Linked DNA regions of Canis lupus familiaris. The protein of the gene in region 1 interacts with the protein of each later gene in a pairwise test. Links are inferred from orthologs where the notes say so. Each region holds a gene or a part of one and is shown on either strand. Other genes may lie near its edges.

Region 1 (7,892 bases):
AGGCTCCCTGCCTTGAGCCTGCTTCTCCATCTGCCTATGTCTCTGCCTCTCTCTCTTTCTGTCTCTCATGAATAAATAAGTAAAGTCTTTTTAAAAAAATAAATAAAATTCTTTGGACTATCTCTGATCATACTGAGGTTGGGAGAAGTGCCTTGTCCATAAGTAAGAGTGACCTGTGTGTTAAGATTTAAACTTGTTTGCTTCCAGTGCTTATCAGGGCTGCTAATGGCATATAAGTAAGTTAGGGAATTTCCGAGAGTATTGTGTTTGCGTTAGGACACTGGTGAACTCAGTCATTGAATATTGATGGTGCTAGACAAGTAGGTTATAATTAACCTTGCCTTTTTTTAGGTGATGGTTCAGTTTTTCGAGACTTGGTTATCAAGTATGGTGCAGTTGACCCACTGTTGGCTCTCCTTGCAGTTCCTGATATGTCATCTTTAGCAGTAAGTTACTAATAAGTTAGTTTACTTCTTGATTCTTATTTTTTCCCACCCCCTGAAAATACACAGGAGTTCTCACTGCATTTTTCTTTCCCCTCAGTGTGGTTACTTACGTAACCTTACTTGGACACTCTCAAACCTTTGTCGCAACAAGAATCCAGCACCCCCGTTAGATGCTGTTGAGCAGATTCTTCCTACCTTAGTTCGTCTCCTGCATCATGATGATCCAGAAGTATTAGCAGATACCTGCTGGGCCATTTCCTACCTTACTGATGGTCCAAATGAACGGATTGAAATGGTTGTGAAAACAGGAGTTGTGCCCCAACTTGTGAAGCTTTTAGGAGCTACTGAATTACCCATTGTGGTAAGTTTTTAACTTTTAGCTAAAAATATTAAACCTTAAGCATGGTCAGTTGATACTAACAATTGACATTGCCTATTTTAGGCCATGATGGGCCTCTGATTTGTCAGAACCTTTATAGAGTTTTTGAGCAGTGCTGGAAAAAATAAAAGATAACCACTGGCATCAACTTTTTTTTCTTTTCTTTTTCTTTTCAGACTCCTGCACTAAGAGCCATAGGAAATATTGTCACTGGGACAGATGAACAGACTCAGGTTGTAATAGATGCAGGAGCACTTGCTGTCTTTCCTAGCCTGCTAACGAACCCCAAAACTAATATTCAGAAGGAAGCTACATGGACGATGTCAAACATCACAGCTGGTCGCCAGGACCAGATACAGCAAGTTGTGAATCATGGATTAGTCCCATTCCTCGTTGGTGTTCTCTCTAAGGTAATGAAGTCTTAGTATTTAGTCAAAGAATGTTAGTATTTATGGATGGACATTTGGTAGAGCTGTGCTTGATAAGATTCTTAATGTGCCAATATTGGATTCTACCTAGAGTCCTTTTGCTAAATAGTGGCCAGTAACCTCCTTCACTTAAGATTAGATGGAATCTGTTGGTAGTTAGAGTTGTTTTTCTATAACCATACTTTTGGGATCCTATTTTTACAATTGTTCTGAATTAAACTTGTTTCCTTATGCTTATTAGGCAGACTTTAAGACACAAAAGGAAGCTGTATGGGCTGTGACCAACTATACAAGTGGTGGAACAGTTGAACAGATTGTATACCTCGTTCATTGTGGCATAATAGAACCATTGATGAACCTCTTAACTGCAAAAGATACCAAAATTATTCTGGTTATTCTAGATGCCATTTCAAACATCTTTCAGGTAAGTTATAAGGTAGCATTTGAACTTGGCCTTGATGGTAATGGATGATATTTTAACCCACGGGAGGGCAGCTAAGTTTGCTCAGTAGGCCACAGAATTAGAAAGGCTGCTTATGTGGGCCACACTCTTGGTAAGACGTGACAAGGGATTATAAGAGATTTAAAGGAGATGACAAGGGGATGACCTGAATTTAAATCAAGTCCATATGTGGACACAATTCATTCCTATCTATTTTGTCAGAAATCTTTAATTCTTCAATGTCCTACTGAATTATGGTGAAATTAAATTTTGATGACTTAGTTATCCATTTTATTTTTTTTCTGATTCCCTTCCTAATTGACCCGAGCATGCTAGCATATGACACTTTGTCACAGTGGTTGGGGATAGGTAGGTCCTACCTAATGACTTTAAACTTCTGATTATGGAAATTCTACCTAGAAGAGTCTAGAATAATGATGCTTGGTGTATCTGTCACCCAGCATAAATAAATTGTCAACATTTGGCCTATTTTTCTACTCCTTCTTACCTAAACCCTCTAAATTATTTTGAAGCAAATAAATTATTTAATCTGTAAAAATTTATGTATCCTAAAATTTGAAGACTTTAAAACCACAATGTCATTTTTATACCTAATAAATTCTTGATTATCAGTAAGTAATCCAATCAGGGATGTTTATTTTTATACACCTTAGGCCATCTTTGTCCTTAGACGATGGTTCTCTACCTTGACTACACTTTGATGTTATCAGAGGTGCTTTTTAAAAAAGATTTTTTCTTTCATTCATTCATTCATTCATTTATTCATTCATTTATGAACCTGAGCATGTGTGGCAGGGGCAAAGGGGGAGGGAGAGAGAATCTCAGCAGACTCCATGCTGAGAGTGGAGCCCAAAATGGAGCTCAGTCCCACAACCCCTGAGACCATGACCTGAGCTGAAACCAAGAGTCAGATGCTTAACTGGCTTGAGCTACCCAGGCACCCCTGAGGTGCTTTTATAAAACAGTAATATTCTGTTCCCATCAAAGACCAAACTTGGTTATGGTAACATTTTTATTTTTTTTTATTTTTGTTTTTTTTTAAACTTTCTTTTTTTTTAATTTTTTATTAATTTAATTTATTTATTTATTGAGAGAGAGAGAGAGAGAATGGCTGGGACACAGGCAGAGGGAGAAGCAGGCTCCATGCAGGGAACCTGATGTGGGTCTCTATCCCGGATTTCCAGGATCACACCCCAGGCTGCAGGCGGCGCTAAACCGCTGCACCACCGGGGCTGCCTGGTTATGATAACATTTTTAAAGTTGCCCAGGTGATTTTGATTCATAGAAATGATTTGAGACCTACTGTAAGATCTAGCTGAGAGCTACAGAAGTAGTTGTTAAGAACAAGTATAGATCTGATCACCTTGAATTTTTTGAAAATGTAAACTGGAAATAAAACCATCTCATAGGGTTGTTGAAGGAACTTTAAAGTGGTTGTCTGAGATCCATCAATACCCAAACATAAACACGGTTTTCCTTTTTTTTTTTTTTTTTTTCACGGTTTTCATTAAAATAGAACATTCAGTAAATTCCACTAAACTTGGATATTTTTTTTAGGCTGCTGAGAAACTAGGTGAAACTGAGAAACTTAGTATAATGATTGAAGAATGTGGGGGTTTGGACAAAATTGAAGCTCTACAAAACCATGAAAACGAGTCTGTGTACAAAGCTTCATTAAACTTGATTGAGAAGTATTTCTCTGTAGAGGTGAGTAACATGGTAAAGTTAACAAGAATTTGGAAAATACACAAAGTCAAGCCCATAAGATTTTTTTCTTCCTTATACTTTTTAAATGAGCCCTGTGACCTTGTTAAATATGGCAAAATATCAGTGTGAGTAGGACATAATGTATATATATATTTTGCTTCTTAAATATTTGGCTTGATGATCATATAATCTTTAGAAATTAAAAAAAATTTTTTAAAAATTACCCCTCTTTCTTTAGAATGAACAGTCTTAAGGACTTTAGAGTATCTTGAGAGTAAGTTTGTATAGGAGATGATGGAAAAGTGGGCCAACCCCACTGCCATCTTCTGGGGCTAATAGGCCATCTTCCCATTTCCTTTTTTTTTTTTTTTTTTTAATTTTTTTTTAATTTATTTGTGATAGTCACAGAGAGAGAGAGAGAATGAGGCAGAGACACAGGCAGAGGGAGAAGCAGGCTCCATGCACCGGGAGCCTGACGTGGGATTCGATCCCGGGTCTCCAGGATCGCGCCCTGGGCCAAAGGCAGGCGCCAAACCGCTGCGCCACCCAGGGATCCCCATCTTCCCATTTCCTATGGAAAAGTGACAGGTGGGGAAGAAAGTCTGCTGTGGTAGCATTCCTTAGTCCATTCGGAATCTTCCATCTCCCAGGCGCTCCTGAATTGGCAAGTTTTCAGCAGCTTTCCCTCCACTATTTCAAATACTGAAATATGGTACGGCATTGATTAGTATAATATGCAGATGAAGACCTTAAGAGTAAATAGAGACTTCTAGGCAGGCTACTTCCTAGAAATGTGCTATGTGTGTGAAATTATATTGTTTGGTTTTGTTTTTTAATACTTCCAGGAAGAGGAAGATCAGAATGTTGTGCCCGAAACTACCTCTGAAGGCTATACATTCCAAGTTCAGGATGGCACTCCTGGGACCTTTAACTTTTAGATTGTACAGCTGAGACAGAAAGTTGTTTGTTGTGTACTGTTTGGTAGAAGTTTGTCTTACTGTTTCTCTACTAAGAACTCTTTTTAAATGTGTTTTGTTATTGTAGCACTTTTTACAACGAAACTATACTTGACCAGTTCTGAACTGTACAAACTGTATGAAGCTCCTCCTCTCAGTGGGTTGCTTATTTCTATGTGGAATCTTCTATCTTACAGTGTCCTGTAAATAAAGATTAAATTCCACCCTTTTCTCTACCTCACCGTTCCTATGCATTACTTTCTAATTTGGAGTTCTTAAGATTGCAGATGAAGGGTGACAGAACCAAACCAATGTGACCAACCAGAGGTGTAATTCTGGTGGCAGATGACATTTGATATCAGGTTTGTGATGTCCTCAAAGATAAAGGAGTCATAACTCTTCTGCCCACTTCTGAGCTCTGGGTTTGCTCTAGGCTGCTTCCATTCTTTGTCAGTAATGGCTGTTGGCACTTGCAGCTTCATATCCACTATACTCCAGCCAGAATAGAATTTTTCAGAAGTTTGCATAAGAAAATGAACAGAATTTCCCAGAAGGCTTCAGCCAATATCTCCTTTAAATCTCACTGGCCAGGGAGTGAGAGTGAGGCCAGGGAGTGAGGCTCCTTGCATGGAGCCTGCTTCTCCCTCTGCCTGTGTCTCTCATGAATAAATAAAATAAAAAAAATATATATATATACATATATACATACACATATTCTACACATATATGTATGTGTGTATATGTATGCATATTAATCATAATTAGGATGTTTATATATACGTGTGTGTAATATATACATGTACATAAAATTTAATATATATACACATGTGTATATATATATTTATTTATTTATATATATAAAATTAGAAGTCTCAAGCTACAAGTAGAATTCATTCCTCCCAAACTTCAAGGCTGAACATGGTTTCAAAGCTGTTGGCATCACCTGGAAAGTTTACCCACAAATTCTGTTTAATTGGTAAGGGGTGGGGTCCCAGTATCTGATATTTTAATTTTAATCCCCATACATTCTTCCTGTACAGTCCAGGTTGGAAGGCACTAATCTAAGGAATAGTTACTATTAGCAGCATAGGAAATGGGCTTGGGGGAAGGAGAAGGGAGGGTTAATAAGGAGCCCCACTAGTCCTAAGGACAAATGAAATGCACCTTAAAAGCACTACTGTCTTTTTCCTTTGATTCATGGAAAAGTAATGAGCCAAGCCTCCACTGCTGATATTGGACAGCTTTGCCTGGTTGTTTTGCCATAGACGATCTAGAGCTGACGTGATGGGGGTGGGCATTTGGGTTGAAGACTCAAAGTGTGATAGGACCACAAAGGGCTACTATATTCAGTTTTTAAAATATGCTAGTTTTGCAAATCCGTATAATGCAACAGATTTCCATTTACTTTCTCAGTGGATATGAATGAACATGATATTCTTTTTTTTTTTTTTAATTTTTATTTATTTATGATAGTCAGAGAGAGAGAGAGAGAGAGAGGCAGAGACACAGGCAGAGGGAGAAGCAGGCTCCATGCCCCAGGAGCCTGACATGGGATTCGATCCCGGGTCTCCAGGATCGCGCCCTGGGCCAAAGGCAGGCGCCAAACCGCTGCGCCACCCAGGGATCCCTGAACATGATATTCTTAACCCTTCAGTTCATTAACCTATACATACGTAACGTTTTGCCTTTTGCAGAGAATAGGCTTAAAGTTCCTGCTATGAAATAATATTTAATGCTTATTTACGTATAGAAATAGCAAATACTTCAGCTAATACTTCTTTAAAGTACCTCCTGCAGCCAAGTTTTTGATTTGGAACACCGAGGCATGTTACATTCCGTCCTCCTGAGCTTAGGGCGTCCTGTTGGGAGCCCTGGTCATTTTCTCGGCTTTTTATATGCAAAGGCTTCCATAGAGGAGAGGCAGAAGAGAAGTCACGAAACTACACAGACTGCCTTCCTGCTCCCACCTACTTGCTCTACTGCCCTTTTTTTCCTACCCTTGCTCTAAGGTAAGTCCCTAAGATCCTGGACTCAAAAGTCTTGAATGTGAGAAAAATCTTGGAAGTAAAGCTGGACACCATAGGTTTTTGTTTTAAGAGAGCTGAGGCTGAGTGGGCTCAGAGGGACCAGTGGAATACACACTGGTAAGAAGCATAAGGTCTGTTGTTTTTAGAGGGAAAACATGACCCAATAGTGAAGTAATGGACAGGAGACAGCTGATTGCCAGAAATACATTTTCATATTTTAGATAGCATTTTTAGCACGCTAGCTCCTTAGAGTTAAAATCCATAGATAACATTTTTAGCAAGCATGCTGGTTTCCTTAGAGTTCAAATCCATTTCTATGTTTTTTTGAACTTGATAAGATTTTCTAAGAAGGAGTTTTCATATTCAGCTTGATTTTTGAAAGTGATAAAATTTTATATAGCTACCAACATTTTCCTTTTTCACAGTGTTGTCTAGCTTCTTTTAATGCACTACTAAAGTTTGTAGCTCCTTTGACTTTTTTTTAAAGTAATGCCTATGCTCTTTTTTTTTTTTTTAAGATTTTATTTATTTATTCCTTGAAGACCCAGAGAGAGAGGCAGAGACACAGGCAGACGGAGAAGCAGGCTCCATGCAGGGAGCCTGATATGGGACTCCATCCTGGCTCTATGGGATCAGGCCCTGGGCTGAAGGCAGCGCTAAACCGCTGAGCCACTGGGGCTGCCCTCCTTTGACTTTTATTTCTTTTTAAGATTATTTGTTTATTTATTCATAGAGACACACACAGAGAGAGAGAGGCAGAGACACAGGCAGAGGGAGAAGCAGACTCCATGCAGGGAGCCTGACGTGGGACTCGTTCCCCGGTCTCCAGGATCACTCCCTAGGCTGCAGGCGGCGCTAAACTGCTGCGCCACCGGGGCTGCCCTCCTTTGATTTTTAAATCCCATTCAAGACTTTAATAAATTCTCTTTGCCCATGATTTTCAGTTTGTGTAAATTTGCAGTAAGGTAAGTAGAGGTAGGAAGTAACACTTAATTTTCACAAGGCAAATATCAAGGGAAAAACTAACACTGTGCTCCTTGTAAAAATCCTTAGGGTTACACTGTGGTTAGAGGTTGAACATCAGTGTTAAACATTACACCAAGCATTGCTTTAAATCCTTATCAAGCTACTATTTTTGGAAAAGTAGGAAATATTCCATTTCTTTTTTTTTTTTTTTTTTAAGATTTATTTATTCATGAGAGAGAGAGGCAGAGACACAGGCAGAGGGAGAAGCAGGCTCCATGCAGGGAGCCCGACGCGGGACTCGATTCCGGGACTCCAGGACCGCGCCCTGGGCCAAAGGCAGGCGCTGAACCGCTGAGCCACCCAGGGATCCCCGAAATATTCCATTTCTTAAGGTTGTTTATTATTCCCTCACCCTTAAGCTTTCTGTGGCTGCATCATCACCGGAAAGATAAAAACTGGATAATTGGGATCCCTGGGTGGCTCGGCAGTTTAGTGCCTGCCTTCCGCCCAGGGCCTGATC
Region 2 (7,181 bases), on another chromosome or scaffold:
AGTGAGCGTAATATAGAAAAACACAAGAGTTCCAAGTGAAAAAAGCAATCTTAATATTTGTAGCCTAAGACTTTTGATACATATATTTACAAAAAGTATCTTGGGGGACAAGGCTGAAAGGAAATAACAAAATGATAACAATGGATGTGTTCAGATGTTAGTAGTATGGGCGTTTTCCTGCCATGTGGTTACTTTGATAATTAAACACTTTTCTTTTACCAAAATGAGGCACATTTAACAAACCACATAATAACTTCCTTTTAAGCAGTCTATGAATCAATGCATAACCTTGGGCAAGATACCTAACACAGCCAAGCCTCAGTTTCTTGATCTATAAGCCACAGATAATGATAGTACCTACCTCCTAGGGTTGCTATGAGCATTACATGAACTCTGGAAGGTCCTTGACAAACAACAGGTACTTGACAAAATAGCTGTTACTTTTATCATCACTAACAGTAGGTAAAATTTTGTGTACCGTGAAATACAACAGCAACGTAGTACCTGTCATATGAGTAAGAGGCTATTTTTATTCACTAACTGAACAAGCCATTTTTTTTGAACAAGCCATTTATTAAACATTTCCTACAAATAATGACAGCTACCATTTATTGAGCACCTACTCAAGGCCAAGCCTTGTTTGGCCTCTTCATTTGAAATACCTACAACAACCTTTCAAAGTTGTTAAAAAAGGCAATGAGCAGTTTTGGTCCGTTGAACATTTAAGGCTGAAAATACACTAGAAGTTCAAGTATATACCAGGCAGGGCTATTTTATGTACTGAAGACAAGGTAGGTGTTACTATTTCTACTTCACACTCAAGGAAATGGAAACTAAAAGGTTTACCTTTATGACTCCAAAGCTCACACTGAGTTTATTTCTCCAACAGACAAAGCACTATAGGGGAAACCAAAATCACACATGGGCTTGCACCCACAGCTTGTAATCTAGCTGCAGAAAAAAGCCACTTGACAGCAGAGAGGCATTCAGTTATGCTATTACCTGCATTCCTCCAGATCTTGTAATTGCTGCATTAGTCTATCCAATTGTTCTTCTAAATTCTGCTTTAATTTGCTTGTCTCTGTCTTTCCTCTGGAAGCCATTTTGATCTCTAAGTAGAACAACAAGCCCACATACAGTATATATTTGGTTATCTGAAATGATTCAACAAACCAGTGTGATTTAAAACGGGCTATACTCTTTCTGAGCTATAGGTGTGGGAAAGATGGTTGTGCAAAGAGAATTTCATTTTACATATAAAAGTTTAAACTAAAAAAAAAAAAAAGTTTAAACTCATATACTAGTAACATCCCAACAAAAAGCCTGGCAGTCTTCCTAAGTGACTTTACAAGTTAATCAGAAATCTTCACGATTAGTCCATTTTACTTTAAACAAATTTGAATGTTGAAAAAAGTTTTATACAGAAACAGATCAAATGCTTTACCAAGAGACTCATTAAAAGATTCGTTTTCATTCTTTTTTGTTTTTTTAAGGTTTTATTTATTCATTCGTGAGATACAGAGAGAGGCAGAGACACAGACAGAGGGAGAGGCAGGCTCCCTGCAGGGAGCCCGATGTGGGACTCGATCTTGGGTCTCCAGGATCAGGCCCTGGGTCAGAGGCAGACGGTAAACCGCTGCGCCACCCAGGGATCCCGGTTAAACTATTTTAAATGCATTTCTGGGCTGTTGGACACTTTGAAAGCCTTGACTTGGTGCTGTCCGTTAGGTGAAATTTATTCCAGAAAGATTAACTCGCTGGCACCACCTAATATCCAATAAAGGCGGTGCACCTTTGGCAGAAACTGCCGAAAGGACCCTCAAAAACCGGAACCGGACTGGGAGATCCTCCTTCATGCTCACCTGGTCTCTCAGTGCTTTGAACTCTGCAGGCTGTCGACCCGCCCCAAAGTGCATAAACCTCCCGCTGCTGAAGGTCCAAGAGTCATGAGCTTGAGCAAAGCGAAATCGTTCATCAGGACTTACTAGAGGCTCAAAGTCCAAACCACGGGGAGGTGGAGCTAGCTGGGGAGTCGGAAACCATTAGCAGGTAGTTTCCTTTACTCCGCAGGCACTAGTCTAAAGCGGTCCAGGTAACTTCCACGGGGGCAGCCCCGCCCCGGAAGCACACCCTCCTCTTCTGGGGGAGAGGGGAGCCGGGCCAGGAGGGAGGGGAGCCGTCTTCCCCGCGACTGCGCCTTGGGCAGCCTTTCTGGGGTGTCCCTGAGGATAACCCCGCACCCCCAGGTGGCTGGAGGGCAAAGCCAGGAGCACCGACACGACCAGGGCGAAGGGCACACGTTTTCCCGCCTGGACCCGAGCGGCTACGGACCTCAGCCATCCCGGCGCGCCGCAGGCAGGGGCGGCTCCGGCCACCGCCCCAAAGACCCCAGACCCCGTCTCCACCCGGGAACTCGGGGCTCCCGCACTGGGGGGCTGCGGCCGCCGGGCTCGATTAGGCCCCGGCTGCCACCAGAGGTCGCCACGAGCCCCCGCCCCCGAAACTCCTCCGGACCTCCGGGACCAGAACCCGGACAACCTCCTGGGGCCCTCGGGGTTCCCCGCCCCACCGGGCCACGGCCCGGTGCCGGGACTTCGGAGGCAGGGGCCCCGCCTACCTGAGGGTCCCGGCCTGGCGGACGCTCGCAGTAGGAACACTTCCGGCGGACGCATGCACTTCCGGCCTCCGGGAGCCAATGAGGGTGCGGCCACGGGTGTTGCTCAGTCTGGCGTCCGTGCTGCGCGGCGTCTCTCCGGGAGGATTCGGGCGGGTGGGCCCCAGGACCTGGTAAGCCCCCTGCAGGCCGGAGCCCCTGAGAGACCTGGCTCTGGGGAGTCGGCGCAGGTCCCTTCCTCGCAGGCTTGGGGGACTCCGAGATGGTGGCGTCTTTGAGGGGCAGATAGCGGTCCTCGAGGCAAGGTCATAGGTTTAGGACAAGGAGTCCCGCGCCTCCAGTCTTTCCATCCTTCTGGGGAGCCCACATCTTCGGTAGTTTCTCTTTCGAACAGGTGACTCACCCTGGAAAATGGGAAAAGATCCCTTTCCAGAGGCCCCTGGAGCGTGGCGGAGGTGGGCGGGGACGGAGGAGGAAGTGTTCCGTCCCGAAGGACTTCTCTTTCCCTCCTCTTTCCTCGGAAATCCGTCTTTGCAAATCCGTAGAGACGGGGTTTGGCGCTCACGCCCCTGAGGGCACCGCCGGCCGTTGGGCAGCTTGGAAAGTTACCGGGAAACTGGGCGGAAATGCTCCCCTCGCCCGCGGCCCCCGAGTCCCAGGTCCCCGAGGTCGAAGTTCCCCGAGTCCGAGGTCCCCCGAGTCCCAGGTCCCCAGACGTCGTGGGGCTGGCTAGTTGGGCTCGTTCTCTTTCAGCCCCCGACTCCTCCAGACTTCCTTCCAACTAAAGTTCCCAGGGAAGTCGACCACAATGAATTACTTCCCCAGTTCTGATCCTTGGGTTTCTCGTTTTTCTCTATTTTTTTAAAGATTTTAAAATTATTATTATTATTATTATTATTATTATTATTATTCGTTAGCACAAGCTGGGGGACGGGCAGAGGAAGAGAACGAAGCAGACTCCCTACTGAGCAGGGAACCCCATGTGGGGCTCGATCCTGGGACTTGGGGATCATGACCTCAGCCAAAGGCAGAGGCTTCACCCACCAACCCATTCAGGCACCCCCCTGTGTTGTTTTTCAGAGTTAGAGTTGTGCTGTGAAACCCTGGTTCTGGCCCAGCACCGAGAAGCCTTTGCTGTGGTGGGAATGGTTCCAGTGACCCACCTTGCACAACACTTCAGGTCCACAGAATTTCCTTTGTGAAAGTAAGTGACTGCTGTGCTACTGTCATCAGGTCTCGTTTTTGATAACGGTAAATACGTGTGGACACATCCAGGCTTTCAGTAACGCAGATCTCTCAGGGACAGACAGGGTCAGTGCCAAAGCAAAGCACACTGAAAAAAATATGCTTCTTTGCTTTAGCATTTGAAGAACTTGCTAAACAAACGTTCTCTCATTGTGTACTTCCCCTAATTTTGGTTATGACAGTATGTGTTCTCTTCAGGCATTTGTGTGCGATCATCAGAGCTGTGCTGACCCAGGCGTTCTGTTTGCCTGCTCTTCTTTCTTTGTGACTTAGTCTGATTCGGCACTTCTCTGCTTAGAGTGTTCCCTGGATTCTTGTCTAGAGTTCAAGGATAATGAAAAAGTATTCCCAGTGTGTAAGTAAGAGAAATTGGTTTGGGTTCTGGTTCTCAAACAAACACAGAATCTAGGCTTTGGAGGAGGGTGAGGAGGGAAGAGAAGACACTGGAAAAAGAGGAATAACATGTTATATAGGTAGTCACTGGAGAGAGAGCATTGGGGGAAATAACTTCAGAGCTGGGTGGGAATCATAACTGGGAAACCAGAAATACTGGAGCAGTTTGGGACATTTAACACTCTTTTTTTTTTTTTTTTTTTTTTTTTAAGATTTATTTATTGGATCCCTGGGTGGCTCAGCGGTTTAGTGCCTGCCTTCAGCCCAGGGCGTGATCCTGGGGTCCTAGGATTGAGTCCTACATAGGGCTCCCTCCGTGGAGCCTGCTTCTCCCTCGGCCTGTGTCTCTGCTTCTCTCTGTCTCTCTCTGTGTCTCTCATGAATAAATAAATACAATCTTAAAAAAAAAAAAGATTTATTTATTGGAGAGAGAGAACATGAGCAGGAGGGGCAGAGGGAGAGGGAGAGAGAAACTCAAGCAGCCTTCATGCCAAGCGTGGAGTCTATGGGGCTCAATCCCACGACTCTAAGATCACAACCTGAGCTGAAACCAAGAGTTGGACACTTAACCGACTGAACCACCCAGGCGCCCTGGAGTTTAGGACATTTTAACTTGGACTTGGGATGGGAGCCCAGAGAGTGCAAGTTGCTCCAACTTGGTAGGGAAAATGCTGGGACAGATAAAGCTTGAGTGGTTAACTGGAAGGACATTAGCCTGAGGCACGGAGGTGGCTCAGTCAGTTGAGAGGCCGACTCTTGATTTCGGCTCAGGTCATGATCTCAGGGTTGTGAGATGGACCCTGTGTTGGGCTCCACACTTAACTTGGAATCAATTCGAGATCCTCTCCCTCTGCCCCAACCCACACATGCATGTGCACTCTCCCTCCCTCCCTTCTGCCCTCTCTGTCTCTGAAATAAGTAAATAAAATAAATCCAAAAAAAAAAAAAAAAGAAAGAAAGAAAGAAAAAAAGAAAGGGGCTCTTGGGTGGCTCAGTCTGTTAAGCATCTGCTTTTGGCCCAGGTCATGAACCCAAGTTCCTGGGATTGAGCCCTGCATTAGGCTCCCTGCTCAGCGGAGAGTCTGTTTCTCTCTCTCCTCCTCTACCCCTCTCACTCTTGTGCTCCTGCTCTCTCTCAAGTAAGTAAATAAAATCTTAAAAAAAAAAAAAAAAAAAAAAAAAAAAAGAAGCCAAAGGAGCCAAAGGCTCTCCAAACATGTGGATCTCTTTCAAATGTCTACCAGTAGATAGTTTGTACCATTGTAAGTCTTATGTCATGGTTAAAGCATGAATTTTTAGAGTGAAGGTTGTTACACAAACTGTGAGATCTTGAGCAAGTTAAGCAGCCTCTTTTAGCTTTTGTTTTCTCATGTTTGTTTAAAAAGGATGGTAGGAGCACCTGGCTGGCTCAGTGAGGAAGACATGCAACTCTTGATCTTACGGTTTTGAGTTCGAGCCCCATGTTGTGTATAGAGATTATTTATTTTATTTTATTTTATTTTTAAAGATTTTATTTATTTATTTATTCATGATAGAGAGAGAGAGAGAGAGAGGCAGAGACACAGGCAGAGGGAGGAGCAGGCTCAATGCTGCTCCTGGGTCTCCAGGATCACACCCTGGGTGGAAGGCAGGCGCTAAACCACTCAGCCACCAGGGCTGCCCTAGAGATTATTTAAAAATAAATAAACTTAAAAAAAGGAGATACTAGTAGTACCTACTTCATTGGAGTGTTGTAAGGATTACATGAGTGCTTAACCTATTGCTGAGCACACAGGAAGAAAGTGAATGTTAGTCATTATCACTTCAGTTAAATGAGCATAATTGGATATATATTTATAAGGAACAGGTCCATCCAAAGAGAAAGAGTGGAAGTATTGCCATTTAGTGAGGGACACACAAGATAAAATGAGGATATCATAAGCAAGAACCCTACAGCTTTCTGCTCCTCTTCTGTCAATTTCCCAACCCTAGGCAACCACTGATCTACCTTCTATCATTATAAATTAAATAATCTATTCTAGAATTTCATATAGCTTGAATCATACAATGTGTGCCTTTTTTTATCTGGCTCTTTTCATTCAAAATAATGAGATTCATCCATGTTGTGTGTATTAGTAGTTCCTTTTTTTTTTTTTTTTTTTAAGATTTTATTTATTCATAAGAGACACAGAGAGAGAGAGGCAGAGACATAGGCAGAGGGAGAAGCAGGCTCCGTGCAGGGAGCCCGATGTGGGACTCAATCCTGGGACTCCAGGATCACACCCCAGGCTGAAGGCGGCCCTAAACCACTGAGCCACCCAGGGATCCCCAGTAGTTCCTTTTTTATTGCCTCGTAGTGTTCTGTTATATGGCTATACCAACTTTGCTTATTCATTCATTCTTTTATTCATTCATCTGTTGATTAACATTTGACTTGTTTCTAGTTTTTGGCTATTATGTATAAAGCCAAACCATGTAATTCTTTGTATAGATAGATATTTTCATCTCTTCCCATTATTATTTTTAATGTTCCTCTGTTTTGTTTTGTTTTTTTTTAAAGATTTTATTTATCTATTCATGAGAGACACAGAGAGGCAGAGATATAGGCAGAGGGAGAAGTAGGCTCCCTGTGGGGACTCCATTCTAGGACCCCAGGGTCATAACCTGAGCCAAAGGCAGACGCTCAACCACTGAGCCACTCAGGTGCCCCTGTTTTTGTTTTTTTGTTTTTTTTTAAGTAAGCTCTACACCTAGTGTGGGCTTGATTTCATGACCTTGAGATCAAGAATTGCATGTTCTACCCCGTTTCCCATTATTTTTAAGCTATCTTCTTACTTTATACCTAAGATCCTTTCTCTTGTCTTCTTAAGGACTTTCCTCTATCAATTATTTACTTTCTCAAAGCTTCTGTGACTTCTTCAACTTACTAATATTCTAATTCTTCAAAAAA

What was found. The genes of interacting proteins can lie anywhere in the genome.
Region 2: the proteins of KPNA2 (region 1) and NMNAT1 interact in a two-hybrid assay, tested with the Homo sapiens proteins (3 studies listed by BioGRID and IntAct). The two-hybrid records come from large-scale screens. The link is inferred for Canis lupus familiaris from reciprocal best matches to the Homo sapiens genes KPNA2 and NMNAT1.

Annotation. Positions count from the first base shown.
Region 1 is NC_049230.1:14,374,046-14,381,937, forward strand, and holds the end of KPNA2 (importin subunit alpha-1), read left to right. Parts: intron 1-351; coding exon 352-446; intron 447-543; coding exon 544-807; intron 808-1,001; coding exon 1,002-1,235; intron 1,236-1,494; coding exon 1,495-1,677; intron 1,678-3,273; coding exon 3,274-3,423; intron 3,424-4,268; coding exon 4,269-4,361; 3' UTR 4,362-4,615; downstream 4,616-7,892.
Region 2 is NC_049226.1:63,610,637-63,617,817, forward strand, and holds the start of NMNAT1 (nicotinamide/nicotinic acid mononucleotide adenylyltransferase 1), read left to right. Parts: upstream 1-2,154; 5' UTR 2,155-2,617; coding exon of another isoform or gene 2,618-2,672; 5' UTR 2,673-2,701; exon of another isoform or gene 2,702-3,008; intron 3,009-3,694; 5' UTR 3,695-3,818; intron 3,819-4,057; exon of another isoform or gene 4,058-4,214; intron 4,215-7,181. Other genes in the region: protein LZIC, read right to left, coding at 1,003-1,154, 1,863-1,951, 2,618-2,672.